Kluyveromyces lactis: one gene and its partners. The protein of the gene in region 1 purifies or fractionates together with the protein of each later gene. This does not show direct contact. Links are inferred from orthologs where the notes say so. Each region holds a gene or a part of one and is shown in the gene's direction. Other genes may lie near its edges.

The links. Proteins that work in one complex are often made in the same cells at the same time.
Region 2: the proteins of RRP6 (region 1) and MTR3 purify together in Saccharomyces cerevisiae (affinity purification with mass spectrometry; 9 studies listed by BioGRID, with this or other methods). This does not show direct contact. The link is inferred for Kluyveromyces lactis from reciprocal best matches to the Saccharomyces cerevisiae genes RRP6 and MTR3.
Region 3: the proteins of RRP6 (region 1) and KAP95 purify together in Saccharomyces cerevisiae (affinity purification with mass spectrometry, with the first as the bait; 6 studies listed by BioGRID). This does not show direct contact. The link is inferred for Kluyveromyces lactis from reciprocal best matches to the Saccharomyces cerevisiae genes RRP6 and KAP95.
Region 4: the proteins of RRP6 (region 1) and CSL4 purify together in Saccharomyces cerevisiae (affinity purification with mass spectrometry; 13 studies listed by BioGRID, with this or other methods). This does not show direct contact. The link is inferred for Kluyveromyces lactis from reciprocal best matches to the Saccharomyces cerevisiae genes RRP6 and CSL4.

The regions. Positions count from the first base shown.
Region 1 is NC_006040.1:113,579-118,428, forward strand, and holds RRP6 (exosome nuclease subunit RRP6), read left to right. Parts: upstream 1-1,134; coding exon 1,135-3,369; downstream 3,370-4,850. Other genes in the region: PHO80 (Pho80p), read left to right, coding at 1-325; IZH2 (PAQR-type receptor), read left to right, coding at 3,891-4,817. UniProt on the Saccharomyces cerevisiae protein: Nuclear-specific catalytic component of the RNA exosome complex which has 3'->5' exoribonuclease activity and participates in a multitude of cellular RNA processing and degradation events.
Region 2 is NC_006042.1:1,688,370-1,691,328, reverse strand, and holds MTR3 (exosome non-catalytic core subunit MTR3), read left to right. Parts: upstream 1-1,431; coding exon 1,432-2,142; downstream 2,143-2,959. Other genes in the region: CHO2 (phosphatidylethanolamine N-methyltransferase), read right to left, coding at 2,324-2,959.
Region 3 is NC_006038.1:508,799-513,283, forward strand, and holds KAP95 (karyopherin beta), read left to right. Parts: upstream 1-1,368; coding exon 1,369-3,954; downstream 3,955-4,485. Other genes in the region: long-chain fatty acid transporter ACB1, read left to right, coding at 221-247, 325-561. UniProt on the Saccharomyces cerevisiae protein: Importin beta subunit that functions in nuclear protein import through association with the importin alpha subunit, which binds to the classical nuclear localization signal (cNLS) in cargo substrates.
Region 4 is NC_006040.1:1,659,302-1,662,294, reverse strand, and holds CSL4 (exosome non-catalytic core subunit CSL4), read left to right. Parts: upstream 1-1,282; coding exon 1,283-2,176; downstream 2,177-2,993. Other genes in the region: BNI4 (Bni4p), read left to right, coding at 1-966.

The DNA.
Region 1 (4,850 bases):
TCCTGGCATTGGTGGCACCTTGGTACCGCCTAGTACAACAATCAAGAACAATCTTAAAGATAAAGGAAATGGTAGATTAAACACAAACATTATATCCACTACGGGCAGGATCGTTTCACCATCTATAACCGAGGGCGATAGCTTTAATCTGAGTGAACACCGGAAAACTCGTTCCCGAGAAACTTCTGTTAATGAGAATAGTGATTCTCCTCCGATCACCATTCCACAAAAGAGAAATATGAAGGAGGATGATCCGACCAATATGGATAGAAAGAGCACTTTGCTACGCAACGGCAAAAAGCTTTCAAGTCATTTCAATAGTTGACCTTCCTTTAATTTATTTCATTGCCAGGATGGAATCAACTTCGGATTCAATTTATCTTTCGCTGAATTTGTGAAGATGGTTGGCAAAATGTGTTATGAGTCTTTTACGATACTGAAATGGTTTCCCATTTTTGTTGATGTTCTTTTCATCGCAGCAATACTCATCAATATTCACTTCATAATGTCTAGACGGAAATTAGACATTAATTGACCCACTTTTAAGTTATTGAATCACTACCCAAGATTACAATGAAAAAGCATGTAGTATTAAAGTATAGTTTCACTACTTAAATGTTTCAGGATTTTGCATTACTTTCCTTCAATTGTGCCATCTTTACTCTTACAGGTTAGCCGCCCTATATAGCTATACTTAATTGGTTGCCATAAAATGGAGCAGCTGATGCTGTCTGCTTCTAGCGTCATTTTATAATATTGAGATGAGAGATGCTGCAACATTAGTTGAAAAAAAATCCGTACATCGTAGAGGAAGCAGAAGTTATGCAAGATTATATAGTTAGTTCTCTAGTAGCCAATTAACTTATAACGTAGCCGTTGAAAGGCAATGGCGGCGGTGGTGATACGTGGTCTGACTCTCTCTGTAATACTACCGACTCTTTGAATGAATCATTTTCATCAGTAGCAGAGAACATCTAAATTTTACCCGGATTTGAATTCTTCTGATTTCTTTTGATTAGTGAATATTTCTTCATCTCATCTCATCTGGTAGTCAAAGACAGTAATATATTGGAGGGCAGTACGATTCGCCCCGTTTTGAATCCCCCGTAGACTACCAGCTGACTCTAATCCACCATGTCTTCAGAGGATAAGGATACGTTACTTTCCAGTTTGGTTCAAACTGTGAGATCATCGAGTGCATTGGCTGCACAGGATATCGATTTCTACAAAAGTTTAGATTCCAACATTAATGCATCATTAGAAGACACTTCTACGAACATTTTATCGTTAATCAACGACTTGCTTTTGTCTATTGATCCCAATAATGATGTAATTCAGCAAGGGAAAGACAGTTTTGTGGATTCTTGGAAATCCATAAGTAATATTATGGATAATTTATTTGAAAAGTCTGATCATGCACTTGACAACATTAGAGCCGGAAATGGTGGAAACGCTGGAGGTCCATCACTTAAGTATCTAAATGATGATGATCGTTCGAACAATAAACCATCCAAGAGGATTGAAAAACCTCAACTAAGTTTTAAAACTCCTGTAGATAACACAGAACTTCATCCTTTCAAGCCATTATTGGAATACAAACCCCATAGTTTACAACCGTTCGAAATTTCATTGAAGATGGTCCCAGAAGAGGAATCCATCCCGTCCCATTACCCACATCCATACGAATATGAGATCGACCACCAAAAATACAATGACTCCATTCTTGTTGCAACAGAACCGATCCCATCAAAGGACTGGGATGAAACTGAAGCAATTTGGGTTGACACCGTTGAAGGCCTTAACAAAATGAAAGATGAATTAAGTAAAGCCACAGAATTAGCAATCGATTTAGAACATCATGATTATAGGTCTTACTATGGTATAGTTTGTTTGATGCAAATTAGTGACCGGGAGCATGATTGGATTGTAGATACTATTGCATTGAGAGAGGAACTTTACATATTGAATGATATCTTTACCGACCCTAATGTTACTAAAGTTCTGCACGGTGCATTCATGGATATCATATGGCTTCAACGTGATTTAGGCTTATATATTGTTGGCCTTTTTGATACTTATCATGCCTCCAGGATGTTAGGTTTTCCAAAACACAGTCTGGCCTATCTTCTCGAAAGATTTGCTAATTTCAAGACTTCAAAAAAATATCAACTGGCAGACTGGAGAATCAGACCGTTGACCAAGCCTATGCTTGCATATGCAAGAGCTGATACGCATTTTCTCCTAAATATTTTCGATAAATTAAGGAACTCTCTACTGGAACAGAATAAGATGTCCGATGTTTTGCATGAATCGAGAAAAGTGGCTAAAAGAAGATTTGAATATAGTAGTTTCAGACCAAAGGTTCCGTCTTCAGCAGTGTTTTCACCTATTGAAAAGGATGAACCTTGGAAGAATATTATGTTTCAGTACAATATTCCGGCTTCAAAGGAATTACTTCTCCGTAGACTTTATGAATGGAGAGATACAATCGCCAGGAGGGATGATGAATCTCCTCGTTACGTGATGCCAAACCAACTACTTGTATCGTTGGTGGCTGGTGCACCAACCGAACCCATTAACGTATTGTCTGTCAGCTCATACGTTTCAGAGCATTTAAGAACAAATTCGAAGGTCATTGCAAACTTGATCAAAAGAACTTTAGAGGATCTCAAAGGAAATTCCAACTCTTCTGCGATCCCACTTTTGGAATCGGCCGAAAGTAACGGCACCGATCTGGCCAATATAATAACAACGTCCCAAATTAAATCCATTCAGAATATATTTCATTCACTTGCTTCGGAAATAAACTCTCAAAAGCTGAATAACGAACAAAATTCAGAGAAATCTGTCCTATTCAATGGTATTTCAAACTTGGATGTGAATACTGCCGTCAGATATACACCAAAGACGAGAACGCTCATTCCACAACATGAATTATTAAAGCGTCAGCATGAAATAACAAGGACGTTAGAACAAGAATACACTGACCGACAAGCTCAGAGTATTGTGCTACCGTCAAATGAGGATGAAGCTCCTACGCAAGTATCTAACGATGAAAACAGAAATGAAGTCATCACGTCTGATCCTTCTCAGGAAGAGATTGAAGAGAACAAGGATGAAGTAATTACGTTGCGCAAAAGACAATCTCAATCTAACAACAAACGAAAGACTATCAGTCCACCTGCAAGTCATGAGATTATGGATTATGCTGCTGGCTCCGACCTATTGAACTCAACAAAGAATAATACAAACTCACAGAAGCATAAAAAAAGAAGATTCGATCCTTACTCTGTTGAACATGTCGGTCCACAGCCTATCAAGAAAAAATCAAAACCTGCCAAGGGTAAGAACGTCTCATTCAAAAGATAGAGCATCTTGAGCAGCTCTAATGGTATAAATATCGAACTAGTCATATTTACAGGTTAATTTCGCTCACTAATTCGTTTGCGTAATAGTTTTTTTCCTTAGAAATAGCTACTTCTGCCTAGGCATTGAGACACAGATTGGATAACTTGAGCTTTTCTGAGACTGCCCATAAGATCCTCCAGTTGCAAGGAGTCTTTTCACAGTAGTCAGTCTATCCTAATTTCTTCATCTATAGTCATGTGCAGTGCATCAGATTAGCCAACAGTTCTCGAAAATGTTGGAACTGACAAAAAGGAATGTTGATATTCAAATTTTGTTTACTACGCGGAATTATAAGAGTGTATAAATAAGGGTATCTCATGGCATTTAAAAGAGATTTAGCCCTAAGTAGTATATATAATGAGATTGAATTTTTAATGCATACTGCAATGAACTGCTTTGATCAAACATAAAGAGCAGAAAAATTAAACGGGTACGACTCCAAGAGCTTATCTATCCTATTATCTGAAATCCTAGTTTGAACTATGAGCACTAGAAAACGGTCCGTTGTTACTGAAGAGACCGCCCTCATCGAAGAGACCCCGGGAACGAAGAAAACTGTAAGAGTTTATGAGAGAAGGGTTTATTCCTGGGATGAAATTCCAGATTGGCAAAAGGATAATGAGCACATCCTGCATGGCTATGTACGAGAGACCCAGAGCTGGAAAGAGCTTTTCCATTCATTGTTCTATCTTCACAATGAAAGTGTTAACATATACACACACCTTATACCTGCAGTAGCCCTTTTCTTTATTATGCTATTTGCTACGCATCATGTTATCAACGAGTACCCTACGACTTCAGCAATTGATTATTTTATGATAAATCTCTTCTTCTTCGGGTGCGCAACTTGCTTGACGATGAGTAGTATGTTCCATACCATTAAATGTCATTCTTTACCAATTGCAACTTTTGGTAATAAGTTAGACTATTTAGGAATCGTTGTGTTAATATCTACGTCCATGATTAGTATATTGTTTTATGGATTTCACGATAGCAGTCTTTTGTTTTATCCATTTGCGGGTTTGACAAGTCTCTTCGGGTTAATTTGTGGCTACATGTCGTTAAAGGATAAATTCAGGTCTAGAGAGTGGAGACCTTACAGAGCCACTATGTTTGTTCTATTTGGACTTTCTGCGGTGTTCCCGATAGTTGCTGGGTTTATTGTCTATGGGAAAGATGAGACATGGAAGAGGGTTCAATTGACATGGGTCATTTGGGAAGGAGTTCTATACATTTTCGGAGCATTCTTATATGGAGTTAGATTTCCCGAAAGGCTTGCCCCGGGAAAGTTCGATATTTGGGGACATTCACATCAACTTTTCCATGTACTAGTAGTTGTTGCTGCTCTATGTCATTTAAAGGCACTAGTCGTCTCTTATGGGCTGGTCCATCAAGCTTTGTCACAGTGACCTGATAAAAAGAATACTCTAACATTATATAGT
Region 2 (2,959 bases), on another chromosome or scaffold:
TGGTTGGAAGCATTATTTTCTTTTTGCAGCTCCCGTACAGCCGCCTTGCTATATGACAATGACCCTAGATCACTCTGGTCTACGATTAGCATCGTAATGCTACCGCGATCTGATGTCAAAGGTTTCCTTACAAAGAGAGCCAAAACTTATGCATCAAATTTTTTAAGATTGGATTGCCGTAACTTTAGTCAATACTTTTCCTCCCTCTTCTGAAGTATGTACGAGATAGTACATTAAGTTCAATATACTCGTTGTTCCCTATGTAAAGATGTATGTTGGCCTTATTCAACGGCTTTCTGCCTTGATGTTCTTGTTTTTACGATTCAATCTCTCTTAGATTGTTAGTTTTTGTTCAAGAAAAAAGATTGTAGGTTAACTGTCATTCATGATATTCTGTCCTACTGCAACTTGTTTGAATCAATGGACATTCCAAGTTATATGGTTAGACTTTGAGCAATATTCGCAGAGTAGTTTGATTTTAATCAGAGTCCTGGGCTATTGGTGGGGTGTAATATCAAAAATCTTTATAATTTCTGCCAGATGCCTGGAAGAAACGTTACACTAACAGAGTCGGTTTAATTCAAAAATGTACTTTGGTCATCCTTTTCTTCGGTGGTTCAACCAATGAACGAATGACTTGCCTTGATTCTTGAAACCTATGCATGAAAGAGCTTCTGGTGAGAGCATTAGCGAGGGTTCGGCTTTCGATCTGGTCCAAGTGAATAGCTTCTGACTTTGTCTTGATGATACACCCAGAAACGATACTGGCTTTTGTATGTACGACTGGCAAGGCGGGTTAGAGTGGGGTGTTTTAGTTGCCAAATCCCAGGTTGTGAGGGGGGGGTCTCCGTCTGCCCCTCCACCGGTTTGCGAAAACGGTCACCTGGCATGAACCGGAAACAAGTGCTGTTTGGAAACATATGAGAAACATATGAGAAACACCAGTTAGTCACGTGGTTATATAACTTCACAAAGCAGTTCTCTCCGTTTCCTTCTGACGTATGAGGTGATGAGCCGAAAGCTAGTACACGACTCTTTTTCAGAAATACGGATCTATTACTATTTACTGGTTTGACAATACCGGGCGACAGCCACTTCTTCTGTTTAGAAATCATTTCACACGTACTGATCGTCGGTTGATTTGTAAAAAAGTTCCAATGCTGCCTGCCGATAATTTGGAAACAAGTACGGTACGGAAACAAACGGGAAACAAATAGGAAACACATATATATTATCACGTGATGACGTTAGAATTTTTCCATCTCGACTATTTCAATCGTGGTATTCTGTTAGTGACCGTTTTGCAAGTGAATATACATGCGATGAGATGCTTCCAAGTTGACGTTGGCTAGTGCCATATCAGCATATATTTACTTGAGTTTGTTTCCCATCGTTATATTAAACTAATACCCACAGAAGAGAGGTCTATTAATGAGTGTGCAAGATAGAAGAAGAATATTAGGGCCAGCAGAAGCGAAGCCATTGCAGTTTGCTGCAATTACTCCTGTAAGAACCGTAGAGAACAGGGACGATGGTAATGGTAATAAATCGGGTAAGGAATCTGTGTTCATTAGTACGGATTTAGTAACGAATGCAAATGGTTCCTCATACCTAGAATATATGGATGGTACTTCGGATCAAGTTCTCGTAATGAGTTCTGTCTTCGGACCCAGGCCATTGCGAGGCTCCTTCCAATCTAAGGCATCAGTATCGATTCAGTTCAAAGAAGTTACGTTAGAACATTTGAATACCGGAGAAATTAAAGAAATTTGTACTTTCCTAACAAATGTCTTTAATGCGGTGATAAACGTTGAGAAGTATCCAAAATCTGGTATTGATATCTTTATAGATTTGATCCAGCATTCTAATAGTAATCCAACAGAGGAGGCAAATATCGTTAATATTCTACCCACATGCATTAATTCTATTACCATGGCTCTTGTAGACGCAGGTATTGAAATCATTGATTTAGTGAGTGCCGGGTCAAAAGATAACTCTGTGGTTGCGTTTATTAGGAATGGACATGAAATCGTCGGTATTTGGAGCGATGACGATAACGTCACTGACATATCAAAATTAATAGAAGAGTGCAAGGCAAAATATTTGGTAAATAAGCAGACTTTGGTTCAATATCTTAAATGAAATGAAATGGTTAACGTAATTTCATAGTGATTCATAATTAATGTGACACGAACGCTTCTTCTGTATTAGCAAAATAAAAATATACAAGGCTTTACCATTAAGGGTGAGGATTCGTTAGAAACATATCCTATTTATACATGGGTTGATACTTTAGATATAGTTAAGTACAATAGAATGCGATTTATTCCAAGTTATCTAACACTTGCTTGATTTGCCATACTTTTTTGGTGATAATATCGATATCAAAATTGGTACGTTTCATGTAAACAACGGAAACATCGGTGTCCATAGTAGACTTATACCAGTTTTGTAATGTTTTCCCAGTGAAATATTTGTTCCTATTCAAATCAAATTTATTATCATTGATTAGAACACCACATTGTTTCAAGAACTGCTTCGTGGTAGCAATTAATTGGTCCACGTCTTTTACAGTTTCTTTAAATTGAGGGAATAATAACTTGAAAGGTTTCGAGATCATAACAACATCGTGACTGTTAGCACTGTGGTATCTAAATTCATAAATACCTTCTTCAAAGCAAAGGATACTCTTATCGAATTTTATAGATCCATAAGTGAAATGGTCATTTGAATCGAAATGCAAAATCTTCTGATGATCTTCAGAATATGAAGAGCTCGAAGATACCGCCGACCAATGTCCTTGAGATGGTATCTTTGTAGTTAATCTATCTTCACCAGTTTCAACGACTTTGTAAAGTCCAATCCAGTCATCTTTGTGGAAAGCTTCATTGGTAACGGCCCATTTGATTTCGATTTCTTCTGGAATCCGAATCGTATTTTCGTCATTGATGTTGACGAT
Region 3 (4,485 bases), on another chromosome or scaffold:
CATCAGCTGTTAGATCTTACCTGAATACTAATGCCGTTCATTATGAAAAGTTTCGTGCCATGTAAGCAAAAACTGGAGGAAGTTGTTTTCAGTGAGAAAAAACATATAAATACCTAATGCACAAAATCAAGAGAAGCTTTACACATGGTACTAAACGAAGGATTTGTGAAAGACAAGTGTTAGTTCAATACGTCAGATATCGACACTCACTCAAAACACAATGGTTTCTCAATTATTCGAAGAAAAGGTATGTGGAATCGTTGTTGCAATGGCTTTTGATTTCCCTTAATAATCATACTAACCGCATCTTACATTTATCTGCAGGCTAAAGCTGTCAATGAATTGCCATCAACTCCAAATAACGATGAATTGTTGAAATTGTATGCTCTATACAAGCAAGCAACCGTCGGTGACAACACCAAGGAAAAACCAGGCATGTTCAACTTGAAGGACCGTTACAAGTGGGACGCCTGGGAATTGTTGAAGGGCACTTCCCAAGAAGATGCCGAACAACAGTACATCGAATTGGTTGACCAATTGATCAAGAAATACGCCCCATAGAGCTGGATGGTCTCGCAAGTTATTGCATCATCTAACTAACTATCTATATCTACATATATATTATCCTTGATCCATATAGCTAATGATAATACCCTTATTACTCGGTTTGAAACACGAATTACAAGTCACGTGAACAAGCTAACGCCAACTATTTACCCGGCTATTTGCAGTTGAGTGGCAAAAAATTCTTTCTTCCCTAGCAGTATATAAGTTACCCTCCGTTAAACAGGAGCACGATCCCTATTTTTCTCTTCATTTATGGGGTTCATACATTGTTTTCTAGGCAATATATCCGGGTAACAGACTCTTTTACTTTCCATCTGATTCCACTCCAAATCGTAGCACAAACGCGCTTTACAAGATGCTACACAGCTTTTTCTTATTTTTTGCTTATTCCCAAGCTTCAAAGAATTTCTTTCCTTCACATCTATTTATCAAACAAAAACAACTAGAAAACATTTCGTAAACAAAAGAACTTAGGATCCAAGAAACAGGGAAACATTTCACTTTGTATCCTTGCGTTTAGGTGTCTTGTGCAAGGGAGAACGGTTCGTGAGACACTTGATCGAGAGTTCATACTCAGAAACTCGTTAGTAGGCGCCGAATAATTACAGAATAAAGGAAGATCTAACGTCGCTATTCGATATACTGATACTTTTATAAAGTGAACCAAGTGTGAAAATTTATTATTTGCCGTTTGCTGTTGCAGTTCCTTGTTTTATTTCTATAATTTTGGAGACTGACTATTGAAACGACCCGCTAGGATTTGGAAACACTAGTAAGTTATAATACCCTTTACAAATCGTTATGTCAGCTTCCGAGGTTGCCCAGTTTTTGGAAAACATTATCATTACTCCGGACCCAACGGTCCGTCTTCAAGCGGAGACGACGTTGAAGAAATTATCTAACGATAATTTCTTGCAATTCGCTGGACTTTTGTCTCAGATCTTGGCCGATGTGTCCGTTCGTCTTGAAGCTAGAATTCTAGCAGGTTTGACGTTGAAGAACGAATTGATTTCGAAGAACCCAACAAAGGCCCAGCAGTTTGCTCAACGTTGGTCTACGCAAGTCGATGCAGAGTCTAGACATCATATTAAGCAGTTTGCGTTACAAGCGTTGGTTGATCCAGAGACTCGTGTTGCCAACGCTTCAGCTCAGTTGATCGCTGCCATTGCAGAGATCGAATTGCCATTGAATCAATGGCCAGAGTTGATGAAGATTATGGTAGATAATACCGCTCAAGAACAACCAGAAAATGTTAAGAGAGCTTCCTTGTTGACATTGGGTTATATCTGTGAAAGTGCAGACCAAAGTGATGAAACTTTAATCAATCAATCGAACAACATTTTGATCGCTATCGTTCAAGGTGCACAGTCGAACGAAACTTCTAAGATTGTCAGACTTACCGCGCTTAATGCATTGGCTGACTCGCTTGCATTCATTAAGAATAATATGGAACGTGAGGGTGAAAGAAATTACTTGATGCAAGTCGTATGTGAAGCTACCCAGGCTTCGGATGAAGATATTCAAGCGGCCGCATTTGGTTGTCTTTGTAAAATCATGTCACTATACTATTTCTACATGAAACCTTACATGGAACAAGCTCTATTCGCTTTGACCGTGGCTACTATACAATCATCCAATGAAAAGGTGGCAGCAATGGCCGTTGAATTTTGGTCTACCATCTGTGAAGAAGAAATTGATATTGCTTTTGAACTGTCACAGTACTCCAACCCAGGCTTGGAATCTTACAATTTTGCTCTAGTATCCATCCAAGAAGTGGTGCCAACTCTATTACAGCTTTTAACAAAGCAAAATGAAGATCCGGATGATGATGATTGGAACGTGGCAATGTCTGCTGGTGCTTGTTTGCAACTATTCGCTCAAAACTGTGGTAACTACGTAGTAGAACCTGTCTTGCACTTCGTTGAACAGAACATCACCAGTGACAATTGGAGACAACGCGAAGCGGCTGTGATGGCTTTTGGTTCTATATTGGACGGTCCTGACAAAACTCAATTGACTAGTTTAGTCCATCAAGCGTTACCACCTATCCTCAACCTAATAACGGATCCAGTTTTGCAAGTGAAGGAAACAGTAGCATGGTGCATCGGCAGAATTGCAGACTCAGTCGTTGCTGCTATAGATCCTCAAGACCATCTTTCTGATGTTGTAAACGCTTGTTTGATCGGGTTAAAAGACCATCCAAAAGTGGCTACCAATTGTTCTTGGACGATTATCAACCTTGTCGAACAATTAGCTGATACCCCTTCTTCTCCGATATACAATTATTATCCAGTTCTTGTTAGCGCATTGCTTGAAGCTTCAAACAGGTCAGACAATGAATATAATGCTAGAGCATCTGTATTTTCTGCTTTGACTACTTTAGTAGAGTTCGCTAATGACCAAGTCGGGGAAACTACTACCTCAATTTCCACTTTTGTTTTGGATAAACTTGGACAAACAATGCAAGTGGATGAAGCTCAATTAACAGCTGAAGATAGACAAAACTTACATGAATTACAATCGAACATTTTATCTGTTTTGGCTGCAGTGATTAGAAAGAACCCACAATCTGTTAATCCAGTAGCAGATATGTTGATGGATCTATTTATGAAACTTTTGAGCAAGAATGATACAACATACGTGGAAGATGATGTCTTTTACGCTATTTCTGCTCTAGCATCTGCGTTGGGTAAAAACTTTGAAAAGTATTTGGAAAGTTTCTCCCCATATTTGGTTAATGCGTTAAATCAAGTACAGTCCCAAGTTTCTATCACTGCCGTCAATCTAATTGCTGATATCTCTAACTCTTTAGAGGATGACTTCAAGAAATTCGCTCCATCGTTCATGAGTGTTCTTGGGCAAATGCTTTCTTCTCCAGATGCGAAGAAGGAATTACAACCTGCAGTCCTTTCTGTTTTTGGTGATATTGCCACCAACATTGGATCAGATTTTATACAGTATTTGTCCCAAGTTATGTCCGTGTGCGTCATGGCTCAAAACTATAAACCGAATTATAGCTCTTCTGATGCCCTCGATTATCAATATAAATTATACGAATCAATATTGGACGCATACGTAGGAATAATAACAGGGCTACACGACCAACCAGATGCATTGTTTCCTTACACAGGTTCAATTTTCCAATTTATCAACTTATTGGCTGATAATCCAAGTGTTGCATTAGAAGATTCAATTGCAAGAACAGCAGTCGGTATAGTGGGTGATATTGCTGCCATGTACCCAGACGGAAGGCTCCAACAATTCTATACACAACCATGGATGATTAAGTTTGTAAAGGACGTGAAAACCAATCAATCCTTTTCTCAAAACACTAGAGATACAGCAAGGTGGGCAAGAGAACAACAAAAGTTGCAATCTAACTTGTGATTCTTTTCATTCGCTCTTGTTTGCCTGCCTACTATTAATAACAATACACTGACTTCCACAGACAACTCACTTGCATAATTCACTGCCTTTGACAGTTTATTCACTCCAACCACTGTTCATTGGATCTATGGACGCCAGTTCCCTCATCCTTTTTAATATAAAGAAGTCGACCAGTTCAAATTTCCTTTGATCCACTACTATCATTCTCATTACTCCTACTACTCTTATTCCCTACTCTTCTACTACTTACTACTCTCTTTTATTCTCACTATTGCACTACTTATTATTCTACCCTTGTATTTTATTTAATAACTCATTATTCTGTTTTATTCTCTTCTCTACCTACCTCTTTTATGATACAACTTCTTTCTCGATTTAAAGCAACCTGGAGTTTCCGTTCTAATGTCACAATGGTCACTACTCTTTGCTGTCACACTCATCCACTCTTAGCATCCCATTTCTAATCATTTTTACATCACTCTAACGATCCTTTATGCCCACCTTCCGTTAACTTCTTCACTTCACATCTTA
Region 4 (2,993 bases), about 1.5 Mb from region 1:
AGTTTCACAATTTCACCACAACAGAGAGATTTTTCTTTTGGTTCCATAGAGCAAAAGTTAAACGAGCTGACAATGGAATCTGATCAAGAAGATCAACTAGAAAAACCATTGGTGCAGAATAAGGCAACTAAATCTAGTCTTGAAGATTCAGATAATGAAGACAACGAATTAATCTCAGATATCATGGAATTTGCAAGTATAATAGACTTTGGACAAGATATCGAGTTAAATTTTGATCTCTATTCTGACAATCGTTCACACTATGAAACTCTAAATCCGGTCAAAGAATCTGTGAAAAACTCTCTATCCAAGCCCAGCTTCAATACTGAGACAGAAAACTCATTTCTTGTGGAACTTACTAACTCCCCAGAAATTAAGACAAACAGTTCAGTACTCAACCAAAAACAGACTGGTTTGGATGATCAGAAACACATATCAAGTACTATAAAAACAAGAGACACATCACCAGAAAATGTTAGCAGTAGCAACCAAAACACTTTTTCTGATAGCAGTTTATATTTTGATAATTATGATGAGGAAGATTTTGAGAACGAAGATTTTAATGGCATACATGCAGTAAAAGAATCCCCAAAGATCAACGCATTTTTACCAGATATCACAACATCGATGAGCAGGCCTATATCGATGTCTTTTAGGGGTTTGAAAGCGCCACAATTCAACAGTACCATGGAACTTTCAGGGCTTACGGGACTTGAACATATCTCAGATCAGATGTCGAAGAAATCGGAAGAAAGATCTAGCTATGCAGCAAAACTTGTTAAGTTTTCCTCTCAAATAGTCCTTTATGAGACCTATGGTGAACTTGAGTATGATAGGCATCCTGATTCGGCAACATGCAATCAACTTACTCCTCAATTGGCCCAAATGATAAAGGACGAGCTGAATGAGCTTAAAGCAGAAATGGACATTCACGAAGATTCTATGTGCAACACTCACTTCTTTTAGTAGACCTATAAATACATGTAATCATAGTAGTTAAATCATTTACCATGCGTTTCTATGTTTCCCTTTATATGGATTCAAATCGTGCACGTAGCTTTCGTGTTGAGCCCGCTTTGAAAGCTTTGGTAATATTACCCTACTATTTGAAAATAATTCTAACTTGTCTTCAACATCTCCCAAATTTTGAAAATTGTTTCACTCATTATGAAAATGATAAAAAAAGAGCTGCTTTATGCGATGAGCTAACAGTAATACCAAACTAGCTTAAATATGGCCTGTAAGATAATAAGAGTGTTTGATAACAGTAAGGTTTGTCTATATGCATCGTTATAAAATGAAGCCTTTTAAAAATTTCCCCCAGACTGTTATACCCGGTGATCTTATATGTCCAATATTTGATGTTGATGATGATAACAAGCAAGAAGTGGTAATACGCTTCCTAACGGGCACTGGCTGTAAACAGGAGAATTTTAGAGTTAACGGCAAGAACGTTGATATTATCGTAGCCACATTAAAAGGTTCTGTATCTGTGGAAGAAGTTCCAGCAGATATTATCGAAGACGACGATCAAGAAGACTCAGAGAATACGACGTTTGTAGAATCTCATGAGACCACCGGAGGGGATGCAAGCTCTGGCAATAGTAGAGTTATAAAAAGTTTCAAAGTATCAGTATCAAATCCTAGCAAGTTTGCTAGCAAGTATGTTGATGACCAGTTTGTCAATAACCTTCCGCAAGAGGGCGATATCGTACTGGCGAGGGTGACCAGAATCAGTTTGCAAAGAATAACAGTTGAGATTTTAGCAGTTGAGAATTCGCCCTTGCCGATCGACTCTGGTGTCGGAAGCAATGGGACTGGCATAATTGCTGCTGCTGGTGGATCTGGTGCGTCTACGTTTTCCGTTTCGCAAGTGTCCGCGGATTTGGGAGAAACTTTTAGGGGCATAATTAGATCCCAAGATGTAAGGGCCACTGATAGAGATAGAGTAAAAGTTATGGAAAGTTTTAAACCTGGGGATATAATACGTGCTCAAGTGCTCTCACTTGGCGATGGTACCCATTACTATTTAACTACAGCAAGGAATGACTTGGGCGTGGTGTTCGCTAAGTCTTCTAACGGAGCTGGAGAACAGATGTATGCAATTGATTGGCAGACAATGATTTCACCAAAGACCGGAGTCGCTGAGAAACGAAAATGTGCAAAGCCCTTCTAATATAGTCGGAACACAACAAGCTTTTTGTTCAAGTCTATAGGTACCTTCACATACATACATTTACAACTTTCATTTACATTTACATTAGTTTCGTATTAGGCTTCACGCATATTGGGAATATTGAGGAAGTTTCTACTAAGATCATTGTGAATTCAACGCCTGAATATCATATGTTATTATCAGAAAAGTTAGTTGGACTTTTAGTTGATTGGGAATTTCAACTCATCGTGGTCACCTCTTAAATCATATTCACTCAGTCCAACTTTTTTTCCGAACTTCTCAAATCTTTGTAGATAATGCTTTCTCTTCTTCTCTGCAATTTGAGTTAGGACAGGCCAATAGGCTTCATGATTATATTTGAAGTCGAGGTTACCACCATAAAGCGTCTCGAGTTGATCAGGTGGCACATAATTTGGAAATGGTTCATCAAAAACCAATTTTTCACGAGTCAACGGATCAATAAAAGGATGGATGAGCTTCAAAAAGGTCCACGCAAGCCACGGGATATTAGTTAATAATGCTTTCCCTAATCTTTCTGGATAATGTGTTTGTAAAATGTGTAAAACCTCTTTACCGGTCCCTAAAGGAGGAATCTTTGAGTTACCTTGAACCTTTGGAACATCAGGATAATCTTTGAAATCTATCAACAAAGCCAATGAATCTTGCCCAGGAGGCATGAAATCAATAACACGTTCAAGCATATATACAAGGTGCTGGACTTGTCTATGGGAGGTTGCTGTGTTTTGCCTACCAGGCTTTAAGTACAATATAGGCCTTGAATCGTTATCGAAACCCAAAACAACTTCCTTCCCAGTCA